Bombyx mori: one gene and its partner. The protein of the gene in region 2 binds, or shares a complex with, the protein of the main gene of each other region. Links are inferred from orthologs where the notes say so. Each region holds a gene or a part of one and is shown on either strand. Other genes may lie near its edges. The genes, in order: multifunctional methyltransferase subunit TRM112-like protein and tRNA (guanine(10)-N2)-methyltransferase homolog.

The links.
Region 1: tRNA (guanine(10)-N2)-methyltransferase homolog (region 2) and multifunctional methyltransferase subunit TRM112-like protein share a complex: the UniProt entries of both Homo sapiens proteins name them as parts of the heterodimeric TRMT11-TRM112 methyltransferase complex. The link is inferred for Bombyx mori from reciprocal best matches to the Homo sapiens genes TRMT11 and TRMT112.

The regions. Positions count from the first base shown.
Region 1 is NC_085117.1:12,721,643-12,738,518, forward strand, and holds multifunctional methyltransferase subunit TRM112-like protein, read right to left. Parts: upstream 9,238-16,876; 5' UTR 9,052-9,237; coding exon 8,674-9,051; 3' UTR 8,309-8,673; downstream 1-8,308. Other genes in the region: Uqcrc2 (ubiquinol-cytochrome c reductase core protein II), read left to right, coding at 500-670, 1,196-1,287, 1,860-1,957, 3,021-3,184, 3,795-4,013, 5,148-5,231; DIS3-like exonuclease 2, read left to right, coding at 10,391-12,894, 13,147-13,405, 14,425-14,619. UniProt on the Homo sapiens protein: Acts as an activator of both rRNA/tRNA and protein methyltransferases. Together with methyltransferase BUD23, methylates the N(7) position of a guanine in 18S rRNA.
Region 2 is NC_085112.1:2,174,758-2,191,095, reverse strand, and holds tRNA (guanine(10)-N2)-methyltransferase homolog, read left to right. Parts: upstream 1-1,961; 5' UTR 1,962-2,133; coding exon 2,134-2,190; intron 2,191-2,262; coding exon 2,263-2,637; intron 2,638-2,909; coding exon 2,910-3,044; intron 3,045-3,268; coding exon 3,269-3,458; intron 3,459-4,218; coding exon 4,219-4,292; intron 4,293-4,828; coding exon 4,829-4,967; intron 4,968-6,122; coding exon 6,123-6,321; intron 6,322-7,226; coding exon 7,227-7,397; intron 7,398-8,737; coding exon 8,738-8,852; 3' UTR 8,853-8,893; downstream 8,894-16,338. Other genes in the region: esterase AGAP003155, read left to right, coding at 1-67, 903-1,043, 1,469-1,641; ER membrane protein complex subunit 2, read right to left, coding at 10,189-10,350, 11,086-11,181, 11,917-12,073, 12,180-12,323, 12,624-12,774, 13,517-13,630, 14,913-14,946. UniProt on the Homo sapiens protein: Catalytic subunit of the TRMT11-TRM112 methyltransferase complex, that specifically mediates the S-adenosyl-L-methionine-dependent N(2)-methylation of guanosine nucleotide at position 10 (m2G10) in tRNAs.

The DNA of each region.
Region 1 (16,876 bases), on a different chromosome or scaffold from region 2:
CTATATATTTTTGGTACAATACCGATTCAGATAAATCTTATTACACAGATAAAACTTAAATTATACAGATTTTATTTTAATAAATATTCATTTTATTTGAATCCAATGTCATTATTGTCATAACATTTGCCTTAGTTGTGGGAGGTATATTATGAGTGTTACCATGGTGTTGGTGAAAAAAAAGCACTAAAAATAACTAAAAAATTAGGTGTGAAATGGAATAAATTATTTAATAAAATTAAAACACCTCAGCTCTCGTAAGTTAAAAAATAACATATATACAAACATAAAAGTAAATCTTGGAATTTTCATAAAAGTATTGGTAATGTAGATGTTTAACCAAAGACCCACCTAGTGGTAAGTAGATACTATTGCCCATGGACCTTAGGTATGTCAGGAGTACAGCCTACTATTAAGGCTCTCTTTAAACCTCATTTATTGAAGAATACACAACACAACAAACTATGTTCATCAAATAACAAAAAAGTTTACTTTATAGATTCGTGCTGTAGATTTGCTCCATAAGGCAGCCTATCGTCGTGGACTGGGTAACTCGCTCTTCATCTCGCCAAAGAGGATTAATGATATTTCATCAGAGTCTCTTCAGCTTTTTGCAAGCCAGAACATTACTCCTAGTCGTTGTGCTGTTACTGTAATTGGTGATTCTCAGGTATATAATTTATTAATCAGTATTTTTAACTGATATTATTAAATCTTAAAATAGATTATGAAATTTATTCATAATGATAGACTACATTTTTTGAAACTTTATTTTTAATTACATGTAATAGTGTGATCCTGACTTTATAACAATTACTGACAAAAAGAAGGGACAAACTTTATTCAGTAGATTGCCTAAATGAAGTGCTTGTTTATTGATTAATTAAATAAATGAAATTTATTAGGGAAAATTTTATACTTCAAAATTTACCTTACCTAAGCACAAATAGTGTAACATTTTATTAAATATATTGATGAAAATGGATGTGTAAGCTATAATTTCTGTGTAAAATAATTAAATTTTAATATTGGTTACCTGCATTTTAACCAAATTTATTAAAATTATTTAGGAAAAATAATTATGTCTAAAATAACAATCTTGACTTTAAACTTTAAATGACAAGTAATATTTTATTTATATACCAAAACCTATTTGTAGTATATAAATACAAATTAATATTATTCAATATTATAGGAAAGGGCTGCATTGATTGTTCAAAACCTAAAATTGACCTCATCAGATGCTTCTCAGGCTGAAGCATCTACTTATTATGGTGGAGAATTAAGGTAAAAAAACATATTTTTGTAAATATTGTTATTATGCGTATTTAAATCAATACTTCAGTTATTTATATGCATCAGCTTTTTTTGTGTTATTTGTGTTTAAAAAAAGCGAAACAGACTATATACAGGGTAGTATTTTGAGTGTGTATGTAACTTGTAGCCCTGTATCCTATTTTGTACTATAAAAACGGAGACCTTAGAACTCAAATCCCAGGATAGGTAGCGGCATTTACGTTGCAGATGTCTATGGATCCCGTAAAACATAAGTGTTAAGACACCAGGTGGTCCGTGAGTTAGCTCATTCATCCAAGCAATAAAAATAAAAAAGCCTTTACCCTAGCTTGATTTTATTTAAACCATTATTTATACAGGATAATGGTATTAAAAGACTGTCTTGGATTTTTAAAGATATTTCAATTAGCATTTTACAGATTTTGATAAATTTTCAACTGTCAATCTCAATGATCACTCAATAGCCCATAGGCCCTGGGATAGCCACTTTGTACCATCTCAGCAGCCAGAGAACTCTGCTCATATTATTATATGCCAGTAACATTTCAGTTATTTAATTCCAGGAAGGAAATTGGAGGGGATTTGGCTCATGTTGCCCTTGCTGTCCAGGGCGCCCCCGCCGGCTCACCACAAGCTCTTGCACTAGCCGTTGCTGCAAAAGGTCACCTATCACAAAAAGTATTATTGAACGAAATGGAAGTGTCATAAAAAAAAAACTCTGAACTCCTGAAACTCTTGAGTAGTCCCAGCTTCCATCACTTGACCAGAATTTCAACTCAGAGAACCGTTCAGATTGTGAATTATCCTAATCTGGCATTCACGAGTAGCAGGGACTATTCACTGTTAAGTGGTTTGTGTTGGTGTGTCAAAAAAAATCTTTAAAGTCAATAAAAAGACAGCAGAATAATTAAAAATTAATCTATATATATAAAAATGAATTGCTGTTCGTTAGTCTCACTAAAACTCGAGAACGGCTGGACCGATTTGGCTAATTTTGGTCTTGAATTATTCGTGGAAGTCCAGAGAAGGTTTAAAAGGTGAAAAAATATGAAAATACTTGGAATTATATAAAAACCAACAATTTTGTTTTTCCCTAGATGTGTCCCCTTGATGTGTCTTTTATTTATCGGTTGAGGCACTACGAAGTCTGCCGGGTCAGCTAGTAAATTAATAAAATTGAAAATCGATCATTAAAACTAATGCATCTTTGAGGTATTCGAAGTGTGAATGTAATTGTTATTGTCTCATATAAGTTTTTGTGTGTAATTTCAAAGGTTTGATTGAACTTTATAGTTTTAAAAGTAATATTATGAACCCGAATGTGTGTTTTTTGGTCTCCTGCCCCCCATCTGACAGAATGACGAGACAACTGCCACTTTCTCTGCCGAAAAACGTGACGTATGCTTAAACTGTACTAATGTTATAAATTCGAAACTGAGTTTATTTGTTACGCTTTAACGTCTTAATTTATAAACTGATCGTCATAAGGCTTAGCGTACATGCACCTTTTCAGAAATACAGAAAGAGACCGTCACTCAGAAAAATACTATTTATTATTTTTTATTTATTTATTTAATTTATTTTGTACACACAGCTGTTAGAAGAAACACGACAATAAGGATACAGAGTACAAGACCACTACTTATTTCATGTTGAAATCTCTTCCAGTAGGTTTTTTTGGTTACTTTTGTTTGTGTGTAATGAATATTTCCTGTATTTTGCAGCACTCGGCAACGGTCCCGTAACAAAGTGGGGGGCCGATAACTCTCCTCTAGCAAAGGCCATCGGCAACATCGGCCCATTCGCAGCGGCCGGATTCAACGTTAGCTACAGCGACAATGGACTATTCGGCGTTGTTCTATCTGTACCTAAAGACGAAGCTAAAGTCGTAAGTGTCAATTTTCTTGTGTTGCTGGGACATGCAGACGTGTTCTTGGCCAAAAACATTGCCATTTGAAACATTAAGTAAAAATGTTTTCTTACAATGGTTGTCTTGTCCTTAAGAATATTACATACGCTTTCGCGTCGCAATTACATAATTTTCATCATGAATTAAAAGGTTTACCTGTATAAAGAATTTTGATAATGAGACGCATAGGCAACAATTTAGGCTTGTTATTGTCCTATGTGTCTCATGACTATGAGTGAAAAATGAAAATCATTTAAATATTGCACCAAAACATGTTCAACAAATTCTCATTGTTCATTTAACATAATTGTAATTGTTCATGTGCATTTTTTGGAGATTACTCTAATTTAGAAATAATAAATCAATTATTCCATTTGAATACAATAAAATTTGAATAAGATAAAACACGTAAATCTATAATTTAAATTGTTATTCTGCTTTATTAATCTTATAAAATTTATTAGAGCAAGTTTTTATTTAGTATGTCAATGATACAATTTTTGCACGTTGCACATATTGGTTTAGCGACGACGATATAAATATTAAAATGGTAGTCACTATTAAAAATACTTTTTATTAAATGTTTCAGGCCGTAAAAGCTGTAGCTAAGGTCTTAAAAACCTCACTGAGTGCGGACGCTATCAAAGCGGGCAAAAATCAGTTGAAGACACAAGTGTTAAATGAAGCCGACACAGGATCGTCGCTTGCCGAATCATTAGCAGCGCAAGGCTTATACACCGGCTCTGTTCGCTCTGCTGTTGACATCGCCAAGGATATCGACCAGATATCCAATAATGACATCTCGCAGGTGATTTAGATAAACAATAAAATATATATATATTTTTTTAATATTCAAGAAAATTATAAACATTAATTAAATACGACTTAATGCTGGACATAATCTTCTGTTGATTGAGCACAAATTCTTGCCAAGATCCAGTTAATGGTTTGTTCAAATTGCTGACCAAGACGTCAGTGCATTCGTATCAAGCGATGCAACTGTGCCGGTGTCCGAATCCCGCAGGCAGGTACCAACTTTCCTTATGAAATATTATGTACTTAACAAATGTTCACGATTTACTTGCACTGTGAAGGGATAACAATGTGTAATAAAAATCAAACCTGCAATCTTATAATTTGCGTAATTGCTGGTGGTAGGACGTTTTGTGAGTCCGCACCTACCTGGCACCTATTTCTGCAGTAATGCGTTTCGGTTGGAAGGGTGGGGCAGCAGCTATATTGTAAAAACTGAGATCTTAAAACTCATATCTTAAGGTGGCAGCATTTACTTTATCTATGAGTTCTGGTAGCCACTTAATACCAGGTGGTCCGTGAGCTCGCCCACCCATCTAAACAATAATTAATATAAATTTTATATAATTAATAAAATAATAAATGTCTAATCCCATATTTTCATGGATATCACTCAGAAGACTTACCAAGGCTGCTCCAAATATACAAGTATTCTATGAAGTGGCTGCATATGTTTTGTCATTTAAAATTATGAGTATTCAATATTGTGCCCAAAGATCAAAATTCAACAAAAATGAATCTCGCCTGAAGATTTAGATTAATTTTATGTACTTATCAAATTCTCTTTTTTTGTGGCCGACTATTTGTTCAACAAAATGGTTTTTTTCTTCTTTTTTTTTAAATCATAATACTAGCAGGTTTGGTAGGCAGCGGCTCTGCCCCTGGTATTGTTGACGTCCATGAGCGACGGTGACCACTTACCATCAGGTGGGCCGTATGCTCGTTTGCCTACAAAGGCAATAAAGAAGAAAAAAGCTAAAGCTCGTCAATAGCTACTAAATAATTAATTTAGAGAATCCATTGACTGAGGAGAAATTGAAATTGTTTCACCTTAGCCATTTTATCTACATACAGAACTAAACTTGGGTGGGTACACACATATGTTATACACTATACTTTTATTTTCCAGGCTGTCTCGAATGCGGCAAAGAACAAGATTTCAATTGGCGCTGTTGGAAACTTAGCATTTGTTCCCTATATAGATGAATTGTAAACTCGGTATTAAATCTTAATTTATTCCTTAATCTGTTACCTACCTTAATAAATCAACAAATTAGAAACAATATGGATTGTAATTTATTGTTTTAATAAATCATTTGTTAATTATAAAAATTATTTTGGAGATGCTTCATGAGTACCAGATGTCTGAAGTAATGTATAAGGAGGCAAGTTTTTAGTATCTTTGAAAGAATCTCTGAAGCCACTGGATTGGTTAAAAAATTGTTTCAAAACAACTAAATAATTATTTACCTACTTACTCGGCCGATCTCTCAAGACCATCAACTTACGTAGGAAAAAAAGGTTTTTCGGGACAAAAGAGAGTTTAAGACACTTTCTAGACTAGGACTGTTTAAACTGCATACCTTTGTAGGCGAATTAAGTTTACTACAAAAGCTGGAGGGCCGCAGAAAATTTTATTTTCAAAAATATTTTCCAGTTATTCCCCAACAATAGTAAAATATAGCTTCACTTTTAAATGATGCCTTGGGAATAAATGGAAAGAATGGAAGAATAAAAAAGATAAATAATACCTAATTTTAATACTGATTATATGTTTTGACAAAGAATAATATTAACCAAGCTATTTTTTACTAAAACTATTTTCTGATTAGAGCATGCGTCGCGGGCCTCATCGTAGTAAATAGTATCTCAAATATTAAGTGCATAATCTATGATAATGTACCCAATAATCTGTTCAGTGTATTTGGTGATTTCGTGTGATAATTACAACAGTTTACCGGCACATCAAATGGCAAAAAGGAAGGAAACAGATTTCTTTTGAACAGACCAGATCAAGATCCAAATTTAGAACAAGACCAGAAATAAGTAAGCTGGATGTACCAAATCTACGCCAAAACACGAAGATCGTTCGTTAAAATATTATCGAACCCAAATCGACGTTTGCCTGGGCTCCATTATGATCCGTCGATTTTTGGGTGGGGGTGGGGGTAGGGAGGGGATAAGGGTTTACCCCCTGCATCATCCCCACCCCGCGGAACCCCATGGTTATGAAGATTTTCACGGTTAATGTTTTGAGTTTAGATTACCACTATTTAGTCAACATAGGGTTAGAATTCCAATTATGGTCTATCAATTTTGAGTCGAGGAGGGAGGGGTATAAGGGCTTATCCCCTGCACCATCACCAGCCCACATCCCCATGGTGATAAAGATATCCATTGTTAATTGTTTAGATTAAAATAGCATTATTTACTTAAACTCGAAGGGAGCTAAGAAACCGCCTTATCTCCGACGCTGCGGGAAGAGCAGCCCTTCCGCCCTTGCGTGCCGAAGCACGGTCACTCACACTCCGCTCGCAGCTTCGGCTTGATGGACCAGCCTCAGCCGCTCCCCCTCGCGCTGTTCCCATGTTCCGTCACAGCGGCCGAGGAGTGCTCTCCCTCCGCGCCTCCGGTTTTTTATATACACTAGGGGTAGGGCAGACAAGACCAGGTGGAAAGTGGGATGCTCTGATTCGGTTTTGGATATTTTTCGGATATCGAAAATTTTATTACTAAAACACGAGCAATTTTATTATTGTTATATTTAATCTTATTTAAAAATATATTTTAATACAGACAGTTATAAAGACGCTATAACAAAATGCGTTAGCTCACGTTCCGTTTCATAGTGTAAACATTATTTCGTTACATTTTGTGTACAAAAGTCAATATAGTTGCTTAATACAGCAACAATTACTGTGCACATTAATTAGAACAAAATGTGATTAAATTAAAATATATTTCTGTAATAAAATACATGTTTACCGTGAATGAAACTCGAAACGTCAACTTTGACGTGTACCTTGCTTAAACCTAGGCATAGATTATACACATAAAGGTTTCCTACTTCAGTGGTACCTTGACGATTTTTCAAATTTGTACTTAGGGAAACTTTAAAAAATTATATTTCGTAAACCGTGAGTTTCCGCAACTTGAAAATTTGCAAAAAGCTTTCTATTTATGATTGCTATCTACAAAAAAATTGTGAACTTCCAAATCGACGGACCATAAAGGAAAGCTTAGCCCCCGATAAGACAATGACCCCAAACATTCAAAAAAATTATCTCTGATGTTCTTAGAGCTAAAACGAAATAAAGAAATTTTGTATCAAAAATAAAAAATCATTCTCAGTACATTGTGGAAATATTTACAAAGTGAATAGAAGTTACTCTGACTCCGAATACTTTGTTAAATTAATCCAAAGAACGAGGCAAATAATAGGGGCAATTTCATACTTTAGCTCCTAATATTTAATGAAAAGTATTTTATTTTATTATTTATTTTCACTATATATATTTTACTGCTTGATTTCATTCAGATTTAATTGTAATAAATAATGGCTTGTGTGTTTTAATGACGTTTATATTTAAATTACCCTAGTATTTCCAAACTTTTGAGTGGTAGTGTATATAATGCAAACGCACTGTAATTATACTCAGAGTTTAGAGTAACAGCTTTCTTTTCATGTACTAATTTTAGTTATATTTTGTAGATTATAGCAGTCATGTGATTGGCTTCAAATCTATAATTCTTATCATTTATAATTTAATTTAAAAGCCATTACAGCCATAAAAGATGTAATTATACTATTACAGGTCGAAGTCTCAATTACTTACAATAGTGTCCTAGCTTTTAAACTAGTATGAAGTTATCAGTATTAACGTCCTTGAGGATACAACTAAGAAGTACCATCTTGTTTAAGGTACAAGTTGAAAAAGTGTCCGCCTGTATACAGCAGGTTATTGTTTGAAGCTCACTAAAATAGTATTAGTACAGGTAGTGGTAATTGAATTAATATAGCAGCTTTAAATAGAGTAAAGTGTGCAGTAAAGGCTATATTCCAATATACACTGCGAGGACTGTTCAGTCCTCTTACTGGGGCGAAATTCGTTCCGTTGACTGACAGTATACAATCACCGTATCATAGGGAAATATATAATGTCAGAAATTGTCACCATTTTTCTACTGTGAACACTGGTATTTTCTAAGTAAGGTGCCCTCAGTGCTTTGTACATGTTATCACGTTTACAGTACATAACCTCATTTCAATAATTCAGTTAAGTTATTATATAAATTGAAAAACAATATTTTCTTTATTGAAAGGATACTTTTAGTATACAACATATGCGTAAGAAAGTTTTCCCCAAATATTTATCAAGAATCCTGAAGCAGCCTCATACTGATTTTACCTATTAAGCAACTTAAAATTTAGTATACAAGGATTACATAAAAATCTTTCACAGTAAATTATATTGTAGAAATTATAAAGTAATGGTACATTTCTTAAAATATTTAATATGAAACAAATTTACATGCACCATAGCACTTCTTTACATAAAAAATAAAACAATCCTATGTAATGTTACTGCAATAAAATTAATGCTTAAATAAAAAATTTGTTACTAATATTTTTAGTACAGGCTCTAAATTGTGAACTACTGCACTTCAGCTTCATTTAATAGCATATTAGGAATTCCTTTAGAAATCGGAAATTGTCTTCCAGATTCTGGACAAGTCAAGTGTCCCTCTTCAACTTCCACCTCTAACAAGACTTTATGAGCTTTCTTCAAAAACTCTTCGTTTTCATCATACTTATTTTCTAAAGATCTTGGCAGACCATCACTGTGGCCGATGCTATCAGCGGCCACCCATAATACTTCCCAATCCAGCTTTGGTATTACACGACTAATAAATTCAGGATTAAAATCGACTTCTTTAACTTTAATGTCTGTCGCGTTAATTGCAAGAGGATAGCCAGTCACAACACCTTTCAAGCATTTCGAAGTGAGCATATTGTGGGTAATTAGTTTCATTATTATATTTGTATTATGCAACTTCAGTAGGAATTGAAGTCTTGACAATAATAGCTTTTCACGAGTAGAACCAAGCGATTAAGATTATTGGCACTTTTTTGTAGAATTTTCTTAAAACATATTTGTTATTATGTACTTTACGTGCATAATTAGATATTTGAGGTTATGTTTAGTTTTTGTTCAGTTGTGTAGTGAGTAGTGACCTGACAGCAGTAAGTAGTGGTAGTTTTATTTTTCCAAATGGAAAGGCAAAGGTATCACACCATACAGCCTAGTCTGTTATAGATTTTTTTTTTTTTATGAAATATATTATGAAATGAAATGAAGCTGATTAATTTAATGGCATGGCATGAAATGAATTGAAATGAGATGAGATGATAATTATGATATGGGTATTTTTATGAAAAATGATGATATGGAGTGAAATGAAGAATTTGAGACATTAATCAACTGGGATGAAATCAAATGAAATGAGATGAGATGAAATATAATCTCAGTAAAATGTTGGTCGTTTACTGAGATTTTTTCAATGGACGTTTTGGATGATCCCGATAAGTTACGTCCAGCGGCTTTATTTTATTTTCCCACATTTGTGCACTTTCAAAGATACTAAACAGTTAATAAACCACCGTTATTATGCATTTCAATCTGAAGAAACACTAAATAGACAAAATAAAACAAATCACACAACTTCACTCCTCGCGTTCCCGCGAAAAAGTTGTAACTTGTTCACCTTTTCAGTCGTAGCTCGAGGTGATACTCGCGCAGAGTATAATAAGAAAGTAATAAAATAAATAATGGATTAATAGTAATTTGCCCGAGTCTCTTCAATGTAATCTATTAGTCTATTATTGTTACTACTTTTCGAAAACTGGTACAAAATTTTTGCGCCTCGAGGCGATAAGCCAGGTTCACCGAACGTGTAGGCTCAGCATGGAGAACTTACTAGCACTAGCTTTAGTTAGAGCGGTGCTTCTCTGAATCTACCACTGGACCAGAATCGAGATTCTCTGAAAAGAACTGGCGAGAAACTCAGTGGGCTCTGTCTGACGGTCAATTTACTAGCTTGACCTTTCTTTGCATTCGGAAGGGATAAGCATTTATATTAAATTGTTGAAAAAAAATATATTTACATTTTTTAAATTAGAATGGATATAAGGTCTTGTAGCCGTTGGCCGTACATAAATATTTAAAAATATTAAATTGAGTATAATTCTGTGTAAAATTATTGTAAATATTGAGGAGAAATGTAATCATTCACATTTATAGACAAAAGCAGCAGGCTTGTAATACTCCATACCTGCTTATAAGTATTTTACAGTTTTTATTTTTTTGCGCCATGTCAAGCCATAACTCATTAAGAATGGATGCAGCATGCAGTGAACCAACAACATCGGTGGTCTCCACGTCGTCAGTACCACAAAAAACATCAAGTGACAAAGCAATAAATGAAAACAAAGTCGATTCACCTAAACGAACACCCAAAAAATCAAAAAAAAAACAAAGATCAGAAGTTACAGTACCTACCATGGTATTCAACAATTCATCAATTAACGATGTTTCCAATAAGTGCCAGAATTTGCAAATTGAAAGCGACAGTGATAACGGGGAGACAGAACAGGTAACCCCAACTACCCCGTCGAAAGGAAAAAACGCCAAGAAAAAGGAACGACTAAAAAAGTTGGAAATACCTACGGTACCAGTGAATAACTTTAACAACACAAACAGAGTACAAAATTCACAGTATTTATTTAACTATTTTGGGTCTCCTAGAAATAGTACATTCTCTGTGCATGAATATTTTACCCAACAGATTACACCATTGTATGCAAGTACCAGCTCTAGGTATTTAGAAAATCTGTGTCACCATCCACAATATCAATATATGCAGAATATCCAACACATGAGAGATATTTTACAAAGCCCAGAGCATGTTGCTAGTGTACCTATCACTCCATTAATATTATCAGGACAGAGATCAGAACCTGTTTGTATTCCAAATTCTACATTTATTCATTCTGAACCTAGCACTCCAAGGTTCATAGAGAATGCATTGCAACACCCCTTATTGAATCCATCATTTTCAAGACAAACTGGTACAATACAAATTGGACAGCTCAGACTGAGGCATAATTCAGAAAACAATTGCTTAACTAAAACTCTTGTAAATGGTGACAAGAAATTTGATGCATACCTTTCTGGAGAAGATGTTGAGAAAGGTTTAAAGAACAATATGCTTATTGAAGGTGTTCTGAGGATAAATCCAAAACAATATCAACATTCATATGTTTCAAGTCAAGACCGGAGTCAACAAGATATATTAATAGACGGTATTAAGAATAGAAATCGTGCAATGGAAGGAGATGTAGTAATAGTACAATTAGTTGAAAATGAACCTGAAGAAAACGTTACTAATCCTGAACAAAAAAGAGGGAAAGTAGTTTTTATCAAGGAAAAAGTTCATACTAGAACTTGTATTGGTTCACTCAAACTAATGCATGACAAAAATAGACAAAAAGCTATGTTCGTGCCTCGAGATCACAGAGTACCAAGAATAAATATACCATTTACTTCATGGCCAGATAATTTTTATGAAGATGCCAAGAAATATGAAAACACATTGTTTGTTGCAAAAATAATAGATTGGTCTGATACAAGGTTTGCTGTAGGAAAAATTATGGGTAATATTGGTAAATCAGGAGACATGGTCACTGAAACAAAAGCAATATTAGCAGAAAATGATTTAGATGTTACTGCTTTTGGCTCTGAATACAAGGATTTGTATCCTCAACTTGACTTTACAATTCCCGATGAAGAAATAGCAAAGAGAGAAGACTGTCGGATGTTATGTATCTTTAGTATTGATCCATTTAATTGCCGTGATATTGATGATGCAGTCTCTTGCAAGGAACTAGAAAATGGTAATTATGAGATCGGAGTCCATATTTCTGATGTTACATATTTTTTAAATGAAAACACTCCGCTTGATGTGAAAGTTGCAGAAAAAGCTACAACAATATATTTGGTAGAAACTGCTTACCACATGCTTCCAGATGATTTGTGTATGCTTTGTTCTCTATTCCCTGGTGTAGATAAACTAGCTTTCTCTGTTTTTTGGGAAATGACCAAGGATGCTAAAGTTATTAGTTACAGGTTTGCTAGGACTGTTATAAATTCATGCTGTCAGTTGGCATATGAACATGCTCAAGATGTTCTTGATGACAAAGAGGATGCTCAAATAAAATTTCCAGAAATGTACAATGGTTTTGATTACAAAGATGTGCACAAATCAATAAAAATTTTAGGCAAATTGTCAAATATTCTTCGTGCAAATAGATTTGAGAATGGTGCATTGAGAATTGATCAACCTAAGGCTAGTTTTAGATTAAATCCTACTAGTGGTTTACCAGAGTCATACTGCATATATGAGAGTAAAGAAAGCCATCAACTCATTGAGGAATTCATGTTGCTCGCTAACATGTCTGTAGCTACACGTATTTATAGTGACCACCCAAAACTGGCATTTTTAAGGAGTCATCCACCACCAAGTAAATATATGTTGATGCAGCTAGAAAAGTCTCTAAAACCAATGGGCATAAAATTAGATATCGAATCGGCTGGACATCTACACAGATCTTTACTACCATATGTGGGACCAGACAATACAGACAAAGGAAGAGCCATGGTTTTAAATTTGCTATGTGCAAAACCTATGACAAGAGCAAAATATTTTTGTGCTGCTGCTTGTGATGATGATGAATTTCAACATTATGCTCTGAATGTGCCCCTGTACACTCATTTCACAAGTCCTATTAGGAGATATGCTGACATTATGGTTCATAGGTAAGCTGACTGTAATCTTTAAGCACACATTAAGTGCGCAACTACACTGTTTGTCAATAAATGGCTGCTGCAGTAAGTGCTAGTCACTTACTTTTGACAGATCTAAAACGTGAACCGAGCTTTGACATACTTAATATGGTAAACAAACCGCTTTAAGACATTGTTATGCCATGATATACTTTTGGTTTTTGAAAATGTGTTCTATTTGCACTACTGATACATTTGAGATAACTTTAACTTTGTTGTTTTCAGGCTATTAGCAGCAAGCTTAAATTATAGAGAAACTCCAGCATGGCAGGAAGATGATGTACGCATGATAGCTGCTCAATGTAACAAACAGAAGTACAATGCTAAAAAGGCTGGTGAAATGTCAACAGAATTGTACACTTTAAAGTACATTGAACTTAATTCTCCCATAGTCACTGAAGGTGCTGTGGTTGACATTAGGGAGAAATATATTGATGTTATCATTGTTTCCATGGGCCTGAACCGGAGAATATTTTTCAATAATGTAAGATTTTTATATAATATCATTTAATTTTCTTAAGCATAAAATGAGTATATGCAAAATTCAAAGAGAAACAATATACACATCTACTATAGATATCTACACCTATATACTATATCTATATACTATACCATCTACCCATCTTTAAACTATAGTGTCTATACCCTCTGTGTCACAAAATTATATAGGTACTGAGCATATACCTTGAATTTTATAACTGATAAATTATGTACAGTGCACATATTTCTCCTTTCATTTTGAATACCCAATGACATTATTAATGATTTAATAATGATTTAAAATCTAGAATTATATCAGAAATTATCAAATGTCTTTATTACTTTTCCTGATTTCATTAGTCATTTTATCGATAATTGAAATATAAATGCATGTGTGCATGCACTTACTTGCATCTATTATGCTAAATCTACCTAATTAAATTAAGGTTTTATCTAATTAAACCTCCCATATTATTTAGTCCTATTTACTGTTTATTTATTTATTAATTTTTTTCATTTCTAAAATGAATTAGTTTTAATTTTCACTCAGTGTACTTCACAAGTATATAACCCCAACGTTTTGAAAAAATTGATTATTACTTAAGCATCTTATTCACTAATTGAATTATTTTTTAATTAAAAAATAACTTATGACTTCTCAAAGGAGATTATCCTTTTTTGTTTAACTCCTGATGGTCTTCTTCTGATACCTTAATTTAAACAAATAACATACCTAAAAATATGAGGTTGCCCTATTTTTCTATTTTGCTTTTAAAAGGACAGAATTTGAAAGTATTAGTGGCCGTGAACATTTTCAATGCAGTTTTAAGGAAAACATCTTTAGCACCGTTGTGATTTGAAATTCAGTTACATGAATAAAAGGAAAATAACAGCGACAGTCATTGTCTGTGCCACAGCGACAAAGAGTTATTTAGTACTTCTGCATGTGTACTGCATCTACCCATGTCTTTTTCCTACTCATAGTGATAATATTTCTTTAATTTATCGGAATTTTTTTCGTAGGATTTTCCTGGAGAGTATAAGTGTATTAGACACGAAGAACTTGCGAAGTTGGCTCGAATGGAACTGAAATGGAAACCGGTGAATGAATTGCCAGAAACTAAACAAGTAATTGGAGTTTTTTCCATTGTACAAGTTGAAATGCACAAAGGCGATGACATGGTAAAAATCGAAACTAAATTAGTGCGACCCCAATAGTTTACATTATATTATTTTACTGGTTTTTTTATGACGACGACAACCAGACGAGGGTCTTCAAAATTTCCATTCGAAACCTGAATTTTTTGTAATGTTACAATTTGTAACAGTAATTCTATTTCTAGAAATTAAGAGAGTTTAATCCGAAATCTTAATTTATTTTTATAAATGAAGTGATTTTAATGAAATTTAGTGTTAAATGAAATCGTTCCTTTCGAAAGCTCTTTACTCTAGAATTTATTGGTGACTGCAGTTTTTATAAAATATTTAATGTTTTTAAAAAGATTATATGAATGACTAAGTTGTTTGTAATTTAATATATTTGAAAATTGTGTATAAAATTTTATTCCTGATTAGACCAAGAAGATGGATCTTCTAATCATTTTAGCATTAATTGAATACTGTGTTTCTTATTTTGTAGTCTGTGTGTAGACATATTGTATGTAATTATAATATTCTGACAATGTTGTATTAGGATTACTATTTACAATTCATAGAACTGTCTTAAAAACCTAAAGCAAACAAGTCTTTAGGCGTTAAGATAAATGCATAATAATAATAATAATGAAATGTTTCAAATAAAACATACATAGATAATTGCATAATAAAAAATTGAATTCATTATATTCAAGAATAATTGAACTGTGAATTTATGTGCTTTACAGTTTTGAGAAAGCGAATTTTTATTGTTTATTGTAAGCCTCATGTCAGGCTCAAAAAATAAGGGAGCGCTCAATTCGTCTATATTTTTGTTAGTATTAATGGACTATCTCAATAGCCCACAGCAAACTGAAGTTGTAAATGTGTGTCCTATCACTCGGATCTTGATAAAAGCCTACGAAATTCTCTTTAAAAGTCGAAAATTACAGATCTAACTTCCAATTCAATTTTTAAATTGCATAATCAGGATATACGGCCCGCATACGTCTTACATAATCAAAAGTAAATAAAGTCACTCATCTTGAACTCAGGAGTGGAGTGCTTGCTAGCAACTGACTCAACCGCTCGAGGGCACCTGCTTTGTGAATGCAATTATGAATGGATCATTGGGACTTGCTGAGAAGTTCCGACGAGGAACTAACTCGGCGGGTTGATGTTATGGGCTAGATTTCACATCGAACTCTGACATTCGACGAGCAATTACCTATACTCTGGGTGGTGCTATCGCAAGTAGTAGTAGCAGAGTGCATCACAAGGATCTGAGGGTACAATATGCGGCACATTGCATGTTTGCTGAACGTGAACGTTATATATAGTAAGTCACTAAAGCTAATACAAAATACTTCAACGGTCCTTAAAATCAATTGAAATAGAAAAAATCTTGTATTTTTTTCAAATAGGTTGGTATTTGCTGGTACTTTTTTCCCTACTTAATCGTTGGTAGCCAAAAGAGCTATTCCAGTTTCGCGCGGTAGGTGAACTCACGGGCTCAACCCGAGAGAATTTGGTAACACCAGTCCTAGCGAGAGCAGTTCTTCGCAGAACCTACCAACGGATCGGAATAGGGATCCCTTGAGAAGATGTGGTGAGAAACTCAGTGGGCTAATCTTGTAATATTTAGTCCCTTATAAATTCTATTCGTACTATTTATGAAATAAATTTCCTGCTTCTTTGTGCCGCTATGCATATTTTATAATAATATTATCTGTTGTAATAAGTCTAATAGAATATTGAAAATAGAACGGGATATATACGAACAACACAGGAAGAATTGTTATTTCAGCAGTGCAAGTGAATTCGAATAAACGTCTTACAGTGAACTGCGCCGTTCATACCTATTGTTCATGTATGAGCTACGCTAGCTCCTCAATATGAAGTGGGCGCTGCGTGTATCCAACTTAAGATAAAAACGAATTCATCCCTGAAAAATGAAGCCTAAAATTACCTGATTTTCCCGTATTCCGTAACTCGCTTATACATTGCTTGTGAATATCTACAGTAGTTATTCAGATCAGACAGATATTCACAAGTTACGATTGTTGAATGTCTACTTTAAAGTACAGAATGTTATTTCTTTTAAAATAAATTGTAACGAACTGTTCTGTGCCGATGTCGTACTGTGTACCTAATCGCAAAATAAGCTGTAACTCAATTTTTTTCATATTTATGACAATGCTATAAAAATATAAGTCGAGGGGTAAAAGCTAGGTTTAAAGCGACATTTTAGCAACTTTACAGGAGAGCCATTTACAGTTTTCAATTTTTTTTTATTGAAGTTATACTTCTTTAGGCGCGTTATGAAAAATTGATGAGTGAA
Region 2 (16,338 bases):
GGATTTATGGGTTTCTCACAGGGAGCATGTTTGGTGGGCTTATTGGCGGCCATGCAACAAAAAGGATGTAAGTTAAAAATTGATGTTTTTCTTCTTTTTCGTCGCTTCCGCATTACTGAGGGTCGTGACCACCTTGGTCTAGTTTGTGCACCAGCTTCCTCCAATGTTGCCTGCATTCGACCTGCTTAATGGCACCCAGGATGCTGGTGTTTGTGACCTCCTTGACAATGTCCGTCCACCTGGTTAGCAATCTTCCTCAGCTTCTCTTTCCTTTTAGATACTCTTTTTATTTGTAGGCAGAACATACAACCCACTTATTGGGGAGTGGTTGTCGTCACTCATGGATATCAACAATTCCAGGATCATCGCCAGGTTGCTATGTATAATAAAATCAACATGAATGCCTGCCAAATAAAGCGTGCATAAAGAGCAAAACTAACCTTTATCTTTGTTGACCTGGCTGGTTGAATGATTTAAGTCTTCAGTGGCTATCACAGCCATAAGACATCACAGTATGGATGCTGTTATCCAGCTAGAGATATTATATCAAAGTTACAATTTTTTTGTATAACGACTTTTCCACCTTACTTAAAATAGAAAATGTGGAAAAGCATTTGTGGCACACACAAACAACAACATAATCTGAACCCTTAAATCCAATTCAACAATCAAAAGAATTGGACTTAAGGGTTCAGATTGGATTCCGAGAATATAATAATACTTATCATACATCTCCTAATGCTGACTTTTTGCAATTAGTTAAGAAAGCTAGCACAATAATCATAAGTAAAAAGTTCCTAATCTTTTTCGTAATATCATGTATTCAGATTATCTTACGACTTAGTTATTTTGCATACATTGATGCAAAGAAAGTTTAAAAGATGTAATGTTTTTTTTTTCAGATTTAAAGTATGCCTTCGATTTTGCAATATTTCTGTCAGGATTCAGATCAGAGAGTTTAGTACATAAAGGTTTTTATGATGAGGATATTGCATTGCCTTCATTACATGTTTATGGCGAAAGTGACTCCATTATACCAAAAGGTACATATTATACATTAATTAATAAATGAAAATCTGGTACCCACATGGGAAAGTTTGAAAAAATTTGTATGTCCTCTAATATTCACGAGACACTTAAATTTATAGATAACTGATTCATGTAATTCTGATCTATACAATGAAGCAATTATTCATTGTTCCAATTATAATATTGGGAAAAATATAGGTAGTCTTTTAAGTGGTTACTGAGAAAATTACCTCGGCAGCTTTTTTCTTATTTTTTTTTTCGCTATGGCAATTGGTTTCCTGCAATTGACTATTTGACAAGTCTTAATTGTTATGCATAACAGCTGCCTCACCACTCAAACTGGAATGTATGATTCATGGCGGAAATGGACTGGATATTGGTACCTGCTGAACCCCCCAAGAACTAAGTTGAGAAACTAAAAGAAATTATTTTGTTTTAGAAATGAGTGAATCTCTAATCAACATATTCATAAAACCGACGGTATCAGAACACTCTGGCGGACACTATGTTACTTGTTCTGATGGCCTAAAGTATACATACCAAGATTTTTTGAAGAGCAGGCATCAGGAACTAGTTGAAGAAAATAGCTCCGATAAAAATGAGAAGACATAATTTTAGTTTTAATATATGTACTTGTGATGTGTAAATAATAAATATTAAATTAGAATTAAATAATTAAGTCAGCGATGTAGTTGTTATTTTTCCGCATTTCCATATTAAAAATTACCGACGCGTATGTATGTCCCCAAAATTCCTTAAGAATATTCGACGTTTTGAGCTAGAATTGTTTTCATTTAAAACACATTTATTTTTTACTACCCAAAGAAAGACCTTTTTCATTCTGAAGAGCTTACTATGCAAAATGTGTTCTTAGATAGTCGGAAATGTATAACATGACAATATTAATTGTTACCATTCCGAAATTTTAATTACTTAGGCTTAAAGGTCGAGATACAAGCAGCGCTGCCTTAGTACATGAAAAAAAATCTAACCAAAATAAAAACAGCAGCACGTGACATTCTTAGATTAATGATAAATTAAAAGATAATTACAGTTAATAGAAATACAAAAAACTCATGGAACTAATGTGTACTTGAAGTTAAAATGTGGCGGCGATATTTATTATGGTTCGCTCACGAACACGTTGATTTCAGACATGCTGTATGTGCTTATCTTTTAGTGTTATCAGAATTAAATTGCATTATTACTAAAAACATTTACTAAATGTTTCAGGAAATCAATAGTATTTTGTCCTTATTCAAAATACCCATCAAATTCATTGAGAAACCGTGTTTGGAGAAGCCGTATTGGATTGTAGAGCTCCCTTCAGAGGATTGTGCGAAAAAGATCGCCTCTCGGTCTGTTTTGATGAAAAATTGTATAGAATTGTGGTCAAGAGCTAAAAGTATTGACCAATTACATATTAATTTACGCAAATCACTTCAAAATACCACCTCTAAATGGATTTTCGAAAATGTGGAATGTGCTGAACATATCTGCCCTAAAGAATTGATTGATGTGTGCTGTTCACCTAACAGTTCATTTAAAATAGAAGTCGAAACATTCTGCAAACATTTTTCAATCCAGGAAAAACTGGATAAAATTGAGGTCTGTAATAAATGAATAATTTGCTAAATATGGTATCTCATTAATTTCTTTAAAAAATATTTACAAAACCTCCCATGGTAAAACTATAAAATAAACTTTTGAATGATTACTTATGAAATCAAATTATTTATTATTATTCTTTCAAAGGAAATCTAAACTATTTTGAATACATTAAATTATAAAGAAAAGGAAAATACTAGTTTACATAAGTTTTGGTAGGAAACTATTCAATCACAGCGCAGTATTAAGATATTAATAAATATAAATTACAGGAATTTACATACTTACCACTGAAAGGATCAGTCAAATTAAAGAATCCAGATATTACATTATCATACCTGGAGTTTTATGGAGTTAATCCTAATAATGTACCTGAACAACCTTATGACTTGTTCTTTGGAAAATGGGTAAAATAATTATGTTTTCTTATATAAAAATCTTTAAAGGTTTCATGATTAGGTTATAATAAAGGTGTAAAATTCTGCTCTAAATTTATTGCACCACTTAGTCTAGTATTTATAAGATTTGTTGTCTAAAACATTTTTTTTCTAATTTTCTTCTTACATTCATTCCTAAGCACCGTGTTTACTAAATTCAAAGTTAATTTAAAATATAATATTTAAATTTGTAGATATCTGAAGGTCAAAGGGATTTAATTCGGTTTCATTCATTAAAAAAACGCAAGTTCATTGGGAATACAAGCATGGATGCGCAACTAGCTATTGTGATGGCTAACCAAGCCCAAATTGCTCCCGGTCATATTGTGATTGATCCTTTTGTGGGCTCTGGTTCATTGTTGATTGCAGCTGCACATTTTGGAGGTATTTGTTTGTATAACTTTTGTATCTTCTATGCTATTGTAGAAATTTTAAACTGAACTAATTATTATTTAAAGTCGCCTTAATTATCATTTACTTGTACTTCACCACTGTCACTCCTACCAAGACACTCTTATAGTGAAAATCTGTCCATCTCATCGAATTTCTAGCTACCTTTGGTCATTTCTCGAACAAGTCAGAGGACACCCTGCCTCTTTGGTACTTACGTGATAGAGCATAAAAGAAACTAGATTATTTAAAGTACCACACTCAAGAGGGTTTTTTGAATATTTTTTGAGTGGACAAACTCATGGACCACCTGGTGTGAAGTGGTCACCAGAGGCCGTAAACATCAACTATGTCAATCCCACCGCTCATCTTGAGATATGAGTTCTAATTCTCCCTTTTTAAAAATATAATGTTTTAAACCGAAACGCATTACTGCTCAGAGAAACAGGGAGGGTGGTGGTACCCACCCGTACGGCCTCTCAAAACACTACCACCAGTAATTATGCAAATTATATTTTTTGTGGGTTTGATTTATTATATGTTGTTATTCCTTCGCCGTGGAAATCATTTGTGAACATTGTCTAGTACATGTTTTATTACAAAACTAGCTACGTACGAATTCGAACACTGGCACATTCGCATCGCTCAATACAAATGCACTGGCCCTCTTATCCTTTAGGCTACAATGACTTCATATGTCTCTGTGTATTTGTTTCTTCTGTAACTAATGTAATAACTATTGGCTTGTTTGTAGCATACGTATGGGGTTCAGATATTGACTACATGATGCTACATGGTAGAACGAGACCAACACGAGTCGGTCAAAAGGTAACAATGTATGTATTAAATATATGTGGTGTTGGAATGTAAACGTAATAAATAGATTTATTATTATTTATTGGAACAGATGAAATACCATACATAACATTGAGTCTGTATGAGATCTAAGTCTTGACTACATAAGATCTTCGTTACGTTATGCTTTAATTTTATTTCACAGCATTTTTTACTGCACTAAATGGTGAGAGTATACAATCCCTTTAATATAAAATGATTATATACTCGTATGCAATTGCTAATGTTTGTTACATAATTGTTATTGTGTCTGGCCCACCCCACACACTGAAATATATGACTGCTTAAACATGATTATTATTCTTTAATCTGCAAACACTAACAGAACTCTTATTGTTACATTATCTCCGTGTTATTATTTTACTCTGAAATAATTAACATTACATATAGGCAACTGAACTAAGAAACAATCAAGTAATATTATTAACATTTAAAAAAAAGCATACCTAAAAATGAAATATAATTACTAATAATAAATAAACTGATACATTCTCTCACAATTGCAACAGGTACGATCAAAAGAGGAGAGTATTAAGAATAACTTGAAGCAATATGGCACGGAGTCTAAATACATTGATATACTGGTCAGTGATTTTTCGTTGCCGCTCTGGAGGGATGGAGTTAAATTCGACGCTATGATTACCGATCGTGAGTTCGTAAAACTTAAGCTATTTCCCAATATTAAAACTAAAAATTACACTATGGTGATATGCTACCGCAAGATTTGTAAAGACCTACTGAGGGCTAGAAACGCATGGGATAAATGCCGATGTTGATGAGTGATCATAACCATTTAGAATCTAGTGAATCATTGGTTTTCTTCAATAACAAATAACTTTCTTGCAATTTGCTTACTCTATCACTTTTTTGGGATACGTTTTTTGATACAACAATATATACCAATCCATTGTAGTAAACAAAAAATTGTTGAATTTTATTAGTAGGAGGCGTCTAACACAGATTTTATTGAAATTAAAATGAACTAGTAAAGTTGTTTCCTGAAACGATAACAATTTAAATGTTAAATGAAAAAACCACAACAGTCCCTGCCAAAAATAAAAAGTTGCTGTCACTCTGGATGATGTAAGGAAGCTAAGAAAACCCCAAAAATGAAATAAAGAAACTGAGATACATAAATCCTGAGAATATTACGGTCATTTTTCGGGCAGTGTAAAAGATAGGGAGTGATACATTTGATATTTGTAATCTTTTAATGCACTATGTGCGTACTAAAGTAACAAATAATAAATCAGCTGGTGCGCGGGGTCAATGACCTCTCACAGGAGACTCACGCTAATTTCGCGTTACATACACTTACATTATACAACATATTTCTAAAAACAAAAAGTATTAAATTTTATATTTGTTTAGTGTTGTATCGATTCAGTATAATTGAAGACATGAGTGAATCAAGGTGATAAGTGCCTATAAACCATATTAGACTCCGGGATTGAGACTTAAATCTCCGGGTTTAAAGGCTCTTTTTAGAAATTGCATGTGATGAAGGATTTACGTATGAAGAACAAGTACAAGTACAAAAGTTTGTTGCTCATTTACTCAAAATTAACAAATTGTATCATATCCACTAATGTCTTTAATTATATGTATGCATGAATTGATTGAAACAGATCGAAATCTCAGATTCGTTTCAATAAGTTAACTCTTAGTTAACTATACTTATTTAGTAACAAATAATTAAGTAGGGCTACATCGTTTCTTAGTTCAGAAATGCATGATGGTTGCAATACCTGAAAGGAGTTTTTTTTTTTTTTTATTAAATTACATCACGACCTAAAATTTCAGCACCGTACGGCGTTCGCGAACCAACAGAGAAGATTGGTATAGAGCGAAACAATTACACTCTATCTGAGGAGCACCTCACAAATCACATACCTTCGAAAGTGGAATACGGCCTTCCTCATATCTACAGTGACCTGTTGAATTTTGCCGCAAGACATTTGGAGATGAACGGGAGACTGGTCTGTTGGTTTCCTGTTATTAGGTGAGGATTAGGAACCTTTACGAATATGCAAATTAAAATAGGCGCGTAGGTTCAATGACCTCGTAGAACGTGGAAGGTACGTTCTGAATGAAGGTACTTCTGATTTTTGTAGTTTATTTCACCCGTTCGAATCAATAAAAATAAATGTTGCATTACTTTCGTATAGTGCTAAAACAAAAATATATACATACTAGCTGACCCGGCAACTTCGTAGTGCCTCAATCGATAAAAGATCTAAACTTTTTTATAAAATCCTAGCGACCCGCCCTCGCTTCGCTTCGGAAACATTAAAACACACATGAAACAAAAAAAAAAAAAAAAAAAAAAAAAATTTTTATTTTTTTTAAAAAGTAGCCTATGTTCATTAGGGACAATGTCGGCTTCTAATGGAAAAATAATTTTTCAAATCGGTCCAGTAGTTTCGGAGCCTATTCGAAACAAACAAACAAACAAATCTTTCCTCTTTATAATATTATTATATATTATAAAATAAACTTAAAACAAACAAAAGGAATCTGTCCGACGGGGGACACATCAAAGGGAAAACAAAATTGTTATTTTTATTTAATTCCACGACATTTTTGCAACTTTACAGAAGAGCCATTTGAAGATTAAAATTTGGAAAAAATATCATAACAAAAACTTCTTCAGCTATTTGAATGGGGTAAACTTAATTGAAGTTCAATTAAAAACATCGAACTGCCGATGCTGATTCCTAATAAAACGCACCTTTAATTACAAAGATAAATGTCTCTTAAACTAAATAGCCTTTCAACCCTCGATATAAAATTTTGTTTACAAAAATGACATAAGAACATAATTGGATCGATCGAATTTTATATTGGTAACAATGATTTCAAACTTGTTAATTATTAATAATATTGTTTTTGAATTGTATGATCAAGGGCCGACTATCAAGATGAGCAGCTGCCTTCTCATCCGTGCCTCAAGTTGATCGCAAACTCGGAACAGATCTTAACCAAGTTGACAGCGCGACGCCTGCTGACGTATGAGAAGATATGTGATGACGTATCCAGCGTAACTGTTGATCCCAGCAGTGGAGTTCCCAATTTTAGGTAACTTCTATCCATCTATACTTAATACTATAAAGAGGAAAGATTTGTTTGTTTGTTTGTATCGAATAGGCTCCGAAACTACTGAACCGATTTGAAAAATTCTTTCACTGTTTGGAAGCTATACTATTCCCGAGTAGGATATAATATTTTTGAAAAAAATTAGGTATCCTCACTAAAACTCCAATAATGTAATCCAAGGTGTAAAAAAATTACCTAAAATATTCTTTACATCGCGTGCCCTGCGAAAACTATTGATGATAGAATAAAATAATGTACTACGACTTTGTAGAACACATTATTATTTACAAAAAGTGACGCGACAGCATATGTCTAACTATTATGGTTATGCCGCAATAAGTGTTCTTTTATTTTTAAAAATTAAACGTCATATATCGTTGAAATTTTTGTTAAAGACCCGAGCGGAACCGGAGCAGGCCGCTTGTCTATTATAAAAGTGAAGTGAAAAGTATTTGTGTATAGAGAATGGGTTACATAAAAAAAAAAAACATTAAAAATTACGATGTTTTACACACTAGTCCCAAATAAAAGTTTTGTTTTTATTCTGTAACAATAAATACAGTTTGTACTGCTATTATTTTTATTGCTTTATGTGAGACGTTATGTCAACATTACTGTTGTTAAGTGGTTCCAATAACCACATACACATACATTGACATTACAACATGAAAGCCTTGAAATAAGTCTCGATTTCTACTGTGTAACGTCAGTGCAATACCCCAAAGGTCTCACTGTTTCGTCCATGTAAAAATATCCGAAATTTTATCATAATCCAAATATGAAATTTTCATAATTGGGTATTTTTTTGGAAGTCGTAGACATCACAGTGGTCCCAGAACCGTGCGGTCCCACCAGGGTGTTTAGTGCGAGTTTTTTAACGTTCTGGATAGCGTAAAAGTTAACTCAAATTTGTATGGAATTGGAACGCTTGCCGTTAGGGGCGCTGTTCCAACTGCATACAAATTCGATATAACTTTAAATAGTTAAATGAGAACGGGAGAACGTTAAATAACTCGCACTTCGCAGACTGTTACCGAAGTTAGTTTTTTTTTATTGCTTAGATGGGTGGACGAGCTCACAGCCCACCTGGTGTTAAGTGGTTACTGAAGCCCATAGACATTTACAACGTAAATGCGCCGACCACCTTGAGATATAAGTTCTAAGGTCTCAGGTATAGTTACAACGGCTGCCCCGCCCTTCAGACCGAAACGCATTACTGCTTCACGGCAGAAATAGGCAGGGCGGTGGTACCTACCCGCGCGGACTCACAAGAGGTCCCATCACCAGTAAAATGCGATGACTAACATTCATTTGTATTTTAGAGACAAATACTTTGCAATCGGAGAAGAAACAAGACGCGAACGTAAGGAGAGGAGAGCGGAGGAGATAGCCACGTACGCGGCGGTGAAAGCGAGACTCGGTAATGAAGTCACATAGCGCAATTTAAATGTAAACTGTAATATATCATTTTAAAATAAGTACACTTTGTTTTTATTTAGTTGTTTTGTGTAGAGTTTAGGTCAAATGTCGCTATGGATTGTGTAGTTTAGTCATATTAATATTTTAAAGTAATATAGTTCGTTTAAATCTCAGCAATAGTTACAGAAAACGGATAATATAATTAATAAGATATGTTCTATGTGTATACAACCTCGAACCCGCAACTTGTCACAGGACACCTCTGGCAGGGTTAGTTTCTTTGGTTATTATATAATATAATAAGAGAAACCTCTTTATAATTTAACAACTTTATTATTTAAATACTTACATAATATTTTAAATTAGGTCTTTAAATTATAGAACGTAATTTAAACATTTTAAAATGCTTTAAATTAAATATAAGAAGTGAAACAGAAACTTGAGACTGGCAACACAGATTGCAAGAGCCAAGCTAATAATTTATATCGATGAATATTAATAATTATTTCATATCAAATTAGACGGTTATTAGAGGAATATTCAAATACATGTTGACGAATAACACCTTAGGCGCGTACCTTAGCATCTCACACGAATACTGTGAAGTAATTTGCTTATCAGGAGGTCAATAGATATCGAAGTTCGCCGGTGTTCATAGTCAGATTTCTTGGTTATATTTATTAAAACTAAAGCTACCTGGTCTCGTATTTCCACCAGATTTTATTGATCTACATTACTTTAAACCAAACTATACACACATCACAATTATGCAAGTAACCATCCAAGACTATATATATATTTATTAATTTATTTATTTATTACACTTCATGTAAAATTTACATTGGCGGACTTAATGCCTAAGGCATTCTCTACCAGTCAATCAAAGGTAGTGCAGAGTAAATAGTTAATTGTACCATTTGAAACAAACCAAATTTATTTGTTTTTAACCCAATGATAATATTATTAAACTAGATACAATCGCAAATATCTATTGAAATGTTTAATGTATCAAATATTTTCTAGAAATTAGCTCAAGAGGAAATGCGGAGTGTGTTAAGTTCATATAAAACATGTTGCCCTGTTTCTCCATGTATCGTAGTACATTGTCCTTGTGTTTTTTTAAATATATTTTTGATATTGTATATATTGATTGAAAGAGCTAATCCGGCGGTAAACAGTTACCAGGTATCATTGCAATTTCCTGGTATCCGCAATTCCTCTAAGCAATGCTACTATAAATAGATTTCTAATTGATATTAATCCGAAATACACTTATCAACATACATAATGTGACTCCCAAAAACCTCGATGCTGAGTCCCAAAAGACATAACATAATGAAAAATACCAATTAATTTATTCAGTTATGGCCAACGATAGCATCATCTGGGACAGTTGACTTGTCGGCTGAGTTTGTTTGGTTGCTTTGGACTGAGCCCAGTGGCACAGTTTCCACACTTCCTTGCGCTTGCCACTGTTCCCTGATGATTTGTAGTGGTTCAGTAGATTTGTTGTTGTCTGTTAAATAGGCACAAAGGTAATTTTTTTAACAAAGTTACTATTCTTTTACATGTTTATGTTGACGTATTGAGAATTTGCTCGGGTAACCACCCAACTGTTTCTTTTGCTGCGTAATTGCTATGTTGTTCTGGCCTGTAAGGTGTGGGGATGACCACTACAGAATACATAGCCTTTTAAAACATTATTATATTTGAATTCTGATAACCAAATTGCACAATTTGTTTACTACTACTACTTACTACTACTAATAGCCTCAAAGGGCTATTCTGGCTTCACTGGGTGTGTAAAGGCTCACAGGGCTTAGCCTGAGAGATTTTGCTAACCTTTACTATAGAAAGAGCAGTGCTGAATCTATCACCGGGTCGGAATGGCGACCCACCAAGAAGAAACTTAGTGGGTTTACAAGAGTCGAATTGGGAGTATAAGTTGTTCTATTTATTCATTCCTCTGAACTATGGAATCATTCAGATCGTATTTTCTAACAATATTTTTTCTTTCTTTGTTCGTGTCTATGTGTTAGCTTCGAATAAGTTGTAAGTTTCTATTCGTTGTTGGCAACACCGGGGTCTGGTCACGGCAACATTAACGTACAACAGGTGTAATTAGAAAATGTAATCATGGATATTCAACCTTACACCACTGAGATTGAGAAACACTTTTCTATATCTACTTTAATTCACTTGCACTTCGTTCTCGTTTTATGAGATTAACGCTTGTGTCACATGTACTTACCAAGTACAGACCCAGCAGCGACCTCATATTATCTGGATTGAGTTTCACAGATTGACAGTAATACAGTTTTGCCAACTCCAGATTTTCGATGCCGCCCTAAGGACAATAATAGACAATATACAGTTTTAAATATAATATCTATACTAATATTATATGACTGAAGAGTTTGTGTGTTTGAACGCGCTAATCTCAGGAACTACTAGTCCGATTTGAAAAAATCTTTCAGTGTTATATAGCCCATTTATCGAGGAAGGCTATAGGCTACACGCTATAACATCACGCTAAGACCAATGCAAGCGGAGCACCAATAAAGAATGTTTCAAAATCGGGGTTTTAATCCCTTTTGAGAGCTTCCACTGCGTGCGCTGCGGAAACGATTAAAGTATCGCTAAAGTAATGTATGAGAGAATTGTTTCCCTTTTTACAGTCCAGGTGTTAAGTGAATACTTAAGCCTATAGGTCAATTTGAATACCACCGACCACCTTTAGACTAAGATCTTAATGGTATTGTACAACTCTCTCCCATAATTCAAACTGAAACGCATGACAGATCCATGAATGACACCGGTATGTGTGTGGTTCGAGAAATTTTGAAAAGAAAAGCTTAGAAAGATGTTTAGCTTTGATATATTTAAGGCTTACGAAAAATACAACAAAGTATATGTGTAGTTCATATATGTAATTTAGTTATAGTGAAATTGTTTGTAAAATGTAGAGCTCTAAAAATGGACTTGAAGCCCATTTCATAATTTTTGTTGAACTTAAACTTCCAATTATCAATTACATAATTAATCAATAAATTAATTAATTGTAGTAGTTATGTTAACATACCATTGTGTACCGAATATCAGCTAGCCTCTGATGATGCAAGTGGCTGTGAGGCTGATGGAGGAGTAGTTCTTCGGCGCAGAACACGGCACGAGAGTAGTCCTGAACCTGAAGGTACAGGTTGCAAAGCTCTTGCCAGGCTTCCACATCTGACATAAACCTAAATAATACAGAGTAAATTTCTTTATTCCACAATAATTTTTTGTGAAACTTGATATGAATGAGGACAGGTGCTTTCAAAAATTATACGAGTATAACAAACATACTTTTTCAAATAGTCCACAAGTTCCTTGATCGCTTCGACTATGTAACCTTGAGCTTTCAGAATCGCGATCCGGCGCTTCCGTGCTGCTGAATTAGTTTCATCTACTTTGATTATGTTGTCCAGTAATTCTAAAGCTTCATCGAACCTATAAAATATTATGAGCATGAAAAGCTGTTTTTAATTTAAAATGTACAATGTAAATGTACCTGGAAACGAAATCAAATGTTGCAGATCAGCTTACAACCAACCTGCTTTCATTTAGATACTAGAGACCATAGACATCACAACATGAATACCGTCATTCACTTTGAGACAAGATGTGTGACCCATAAAACTGGAGCACATGACTGCTTAATAGTAATCATCTATTATTAATAACAAATAATTGCTTAAGGTAATGAATATCTTAGAGCCAAAACAAAATAGTCTACAAACAATAACTTACTTCTCCTCTGCCTCTAAAACAGCTGCTTTTAATTTCATAACTCTTAGGCTACCAGGAAACTCATTGGATAGCATCACAAGGCACAACATTGCTATGCAGTACATGTGACAGTCCAATGCTGCATAGATTACTTGCTCCAATATAACGTGTTCTGTAACAAATGCTACATATATAGATGGTGTTGCATATAATTATACACTACAGACATTACATAAACACAGTCATGAGATATTATTATAAAATCAAACTATCCACAACTGTAAATTTTATTATATTTTAATGAATTTGGTCTTTCTATGTCATATCTGTGATTGGTACATTCAAAGTTCTCACGGTTGCTACAGTTCTGATGAGGATGAGATAGCATAACTAGTTTATACTGAAACAGTAATGAATTTTAAAGGTGGTGCAGCCATTATACTATAAAACTCATGTATAAAGGTGAGCAGCATACAGTACTCTCTTAAGAGAAGATGGGCCGCAATACAGCTAAGCAATAAAAAAAACTTCATAAGGACAACCTTTGAAGCACTTTTTACAAAACCATATTATCATACAGGTTGCTAGATCTATCAACATCAGCATTGAACTCCATTGAGAACAGGTTTGACCAATAATCCAAAATTCAAAACACACACACATCAGGGTTATAAGTTATTTAAAAGTTATAAACTAGCATTGTGTTGTTGTGCTTTTACAACCTAATTAATTGTCTACTAGAATAGTAGAAGTTACTAGAAAAGGTAGAAAAAAAATATCTAAAACCACAATGTGTGTTGGCTGGTGAATAGATGTATTCTCGGTTATATTTCATTTACTTATCCTCAAGTATTTGAGCTGCTTGTACATTTGCAAATTTAAGCGATTCAATACATAAAAAGATCTATACCAACTCTCGTTTCCAAGTTTGTTTACATCTTCTCTGAGAACCACATCCCAAAGTTCTAGCACTTCTTTGCCTCTCCTCTCATTGTTTTCCCTCCATTGACGGAGAAGATCCTTTGCTTCTACAAAACAATATTTCAAAGTTGTGATTTCTGAGATCTAAATACTGATTATCAACTTGGTCTGTTATCTATGATGACCTCAATGAAAACTGTCTCATTGTTAACGTAATGTGACTTAAACAATTCAGACAGCTGAGTTTGTTTTGCCAGTTGCTATTAGTACAGTAGTAGATTCAGTTACATTAAGCTGATTCTTCTAACATGCAAGCACACTTGATGTTTACAAATAAATTGTTTAAAAATATAAAACTACTGTTTTTAATACTTATGTTCATATTTTGTATTATAACAAATTAAAACTCTCACAGTAAAATGTGTAGTTTATTGATGTGTGAACAATGACCTAATATCGAGGGGTGAAAGGCAATTTGGTTTAAGCGACATTTTTTCAAATTTACATCGGAGCCATTTTAGTTTAAAATATGGAAAAGATATCGTAACAAAAAACTTTTTCAACTATGTATTTGACTTTGTTAAGCTTAATTGAATTTCAATTAAAAACATCCGATTGTTGATAATAATACCAAAAAAACGGTATTTTAATTATAAAGACAAATGTCGCATATTAAGCGAAATGTCACTTAAACCAAATAGCTTTTCACCCGTCGATATTAACTACAAGATGGCTAGCTAATCTAAAACACAATTAAACACGTTTCCTCCATTGACTAATAAAGACTGGTGGCCATGGAATTGCATTGAGGCCTTTTGCCAGCATCTACTCCCGCCCCATTTGCATGCATCCTCCTCAGAGGCTCATGAGCGATAACAATAGGGATGTGTTTGCTATAGTATTCAAAATTAAATGTCATGCAGTTTGAATAAAATTCTTGATATTCATTTCAGTCAATTTACTCTGCATCTAAGACAGCAAATTTTTTTTCTTTAGTTTACCTGCTAATATGATAGCTATATCAAAGATCATTTTTTGGATTCACTGTTCTAATACAGTAATCTTTCTAAAATGAACAAACAGAAGTACAATACCCGATACTGGTAGTAATTGAGGTATTTTCAGCCCATATAAGTACAATCTTACTATGTATACTGCAAAGAATTCATACATTTCGATTGTAAGGGTCAGAGTATACTTTTTATAGTGTTTTTGTGCGAATCCACACATTCTATTAGGGAGGTTATATCCTAAGTATAATTATTAGTCTAATTATAAAATCCGGAACTATATTTACTTCAATTAAGATATTTAATTTTGGTCATAGACTGAACCATGATATGATAACTAGCCCACAGTTATTCATCATATTACTGTTAAACAGCTTACCATTGTGGCTTATTTCTTCGTAATTAAAAGACATTTTGTTTACTGTTTTTAATTTAATTTACCCCCAAAACTTGGAATAATATATCACGGACTGAAGCAATTACAAACACTTAACAACAACAAAAATCTAAATAATTTTATGTGACATACAACACTATCTTAAAATTCATAAATTAACTTTTTCGAACATTTATGGCAAAACTGGCAAAAGCACATAATTTTTTTTTTTTTTTCTATAGACAGGCAAAAGAAACATGACTCATATTGCTAAATTTTTTGAAACAAAGGGCGAAGCCTTTGCATTCAAAATAAAAGGGGAAAGAAATGAAATGAAATGGAATTTAATGAGGAGAGATATTGGAATTTTAAAATTCTATGTAAAATGTGGCTACCTAGTGAGAGTGCTACAGAAATTTAAACAAAATCAACAAAATAAAATAATTTTCAAGACTCCGCTCTTCGAATAGCCGTCGAAACAATGTGGAACATGAGGAATATGGATTTTTACGTCAATCAGTACATATCCGAATCTATCCGTAAGTATATTACGAAAGCGTCGTTGGGTGATGGTGCGACATGTTAACTAATCACGGCTGTCGACAACTACGCTCAGACTCGGCTCACGCAGTAGCCGATCACCGCCGAGGCCATTTAAACATACGTCATCGTGGATCCTTCTTGTCCACTCCTAGTGCTGCTGTAGGACGTTAGTAGTACTAACGTTAGCAGCAAATAAAATACAGGTCACCGTACTTGTCGATCCAGCGCAGAGTTCGACGAGATACTTAACACAGTGATATCGATGTAGAACACGAAATAGTTGCTTTTGAGCTCATAAGTCTCCTACGAGTGCATTCAGGCACTGGTTAGTAAGCTTCTCCCATAACCGATTTCCTGTTATCCTTCCTTTCCACAAAAAAAGAACAATCAAAATACGATCTGCACACCTTACAGTGTAAAGTAAGGAATTCTGTTACAAATGTCCACAAAGTCATTTAAGAACAATTAAATTGCATTTTAAATTAAATATTTACATTCAATAAAATTGAGAATTGTACGCATTGAAGGAATTAGATTGAGAGGAGAGTAAGAAAACATTTTTTTTTAAAGGTAGACCTTCCCTATCTTGAATATCTCAATTTAATTGAAGTACATTAGGAAACAAGGTAATTGCAAATCGTATGTATGGCGTTAAGAGCTGCGCCTCAGATATTTTTTTATTTATGAGGATGATGATAAAATTATTTGTTCATCCATCGTATGGTCACCAGAGCTGGATACATCAGTGAGTCCTCCTTTCACTCAATCCATTATTGGCTGGTACCCTTTGATTTACGAGGCGTATACAGACAAAATAATTTTTATTATCGTGTTTGTCATTTACGTTCTCTTCTACGCAGAATGATTTAGAAATTGATGAAAACAC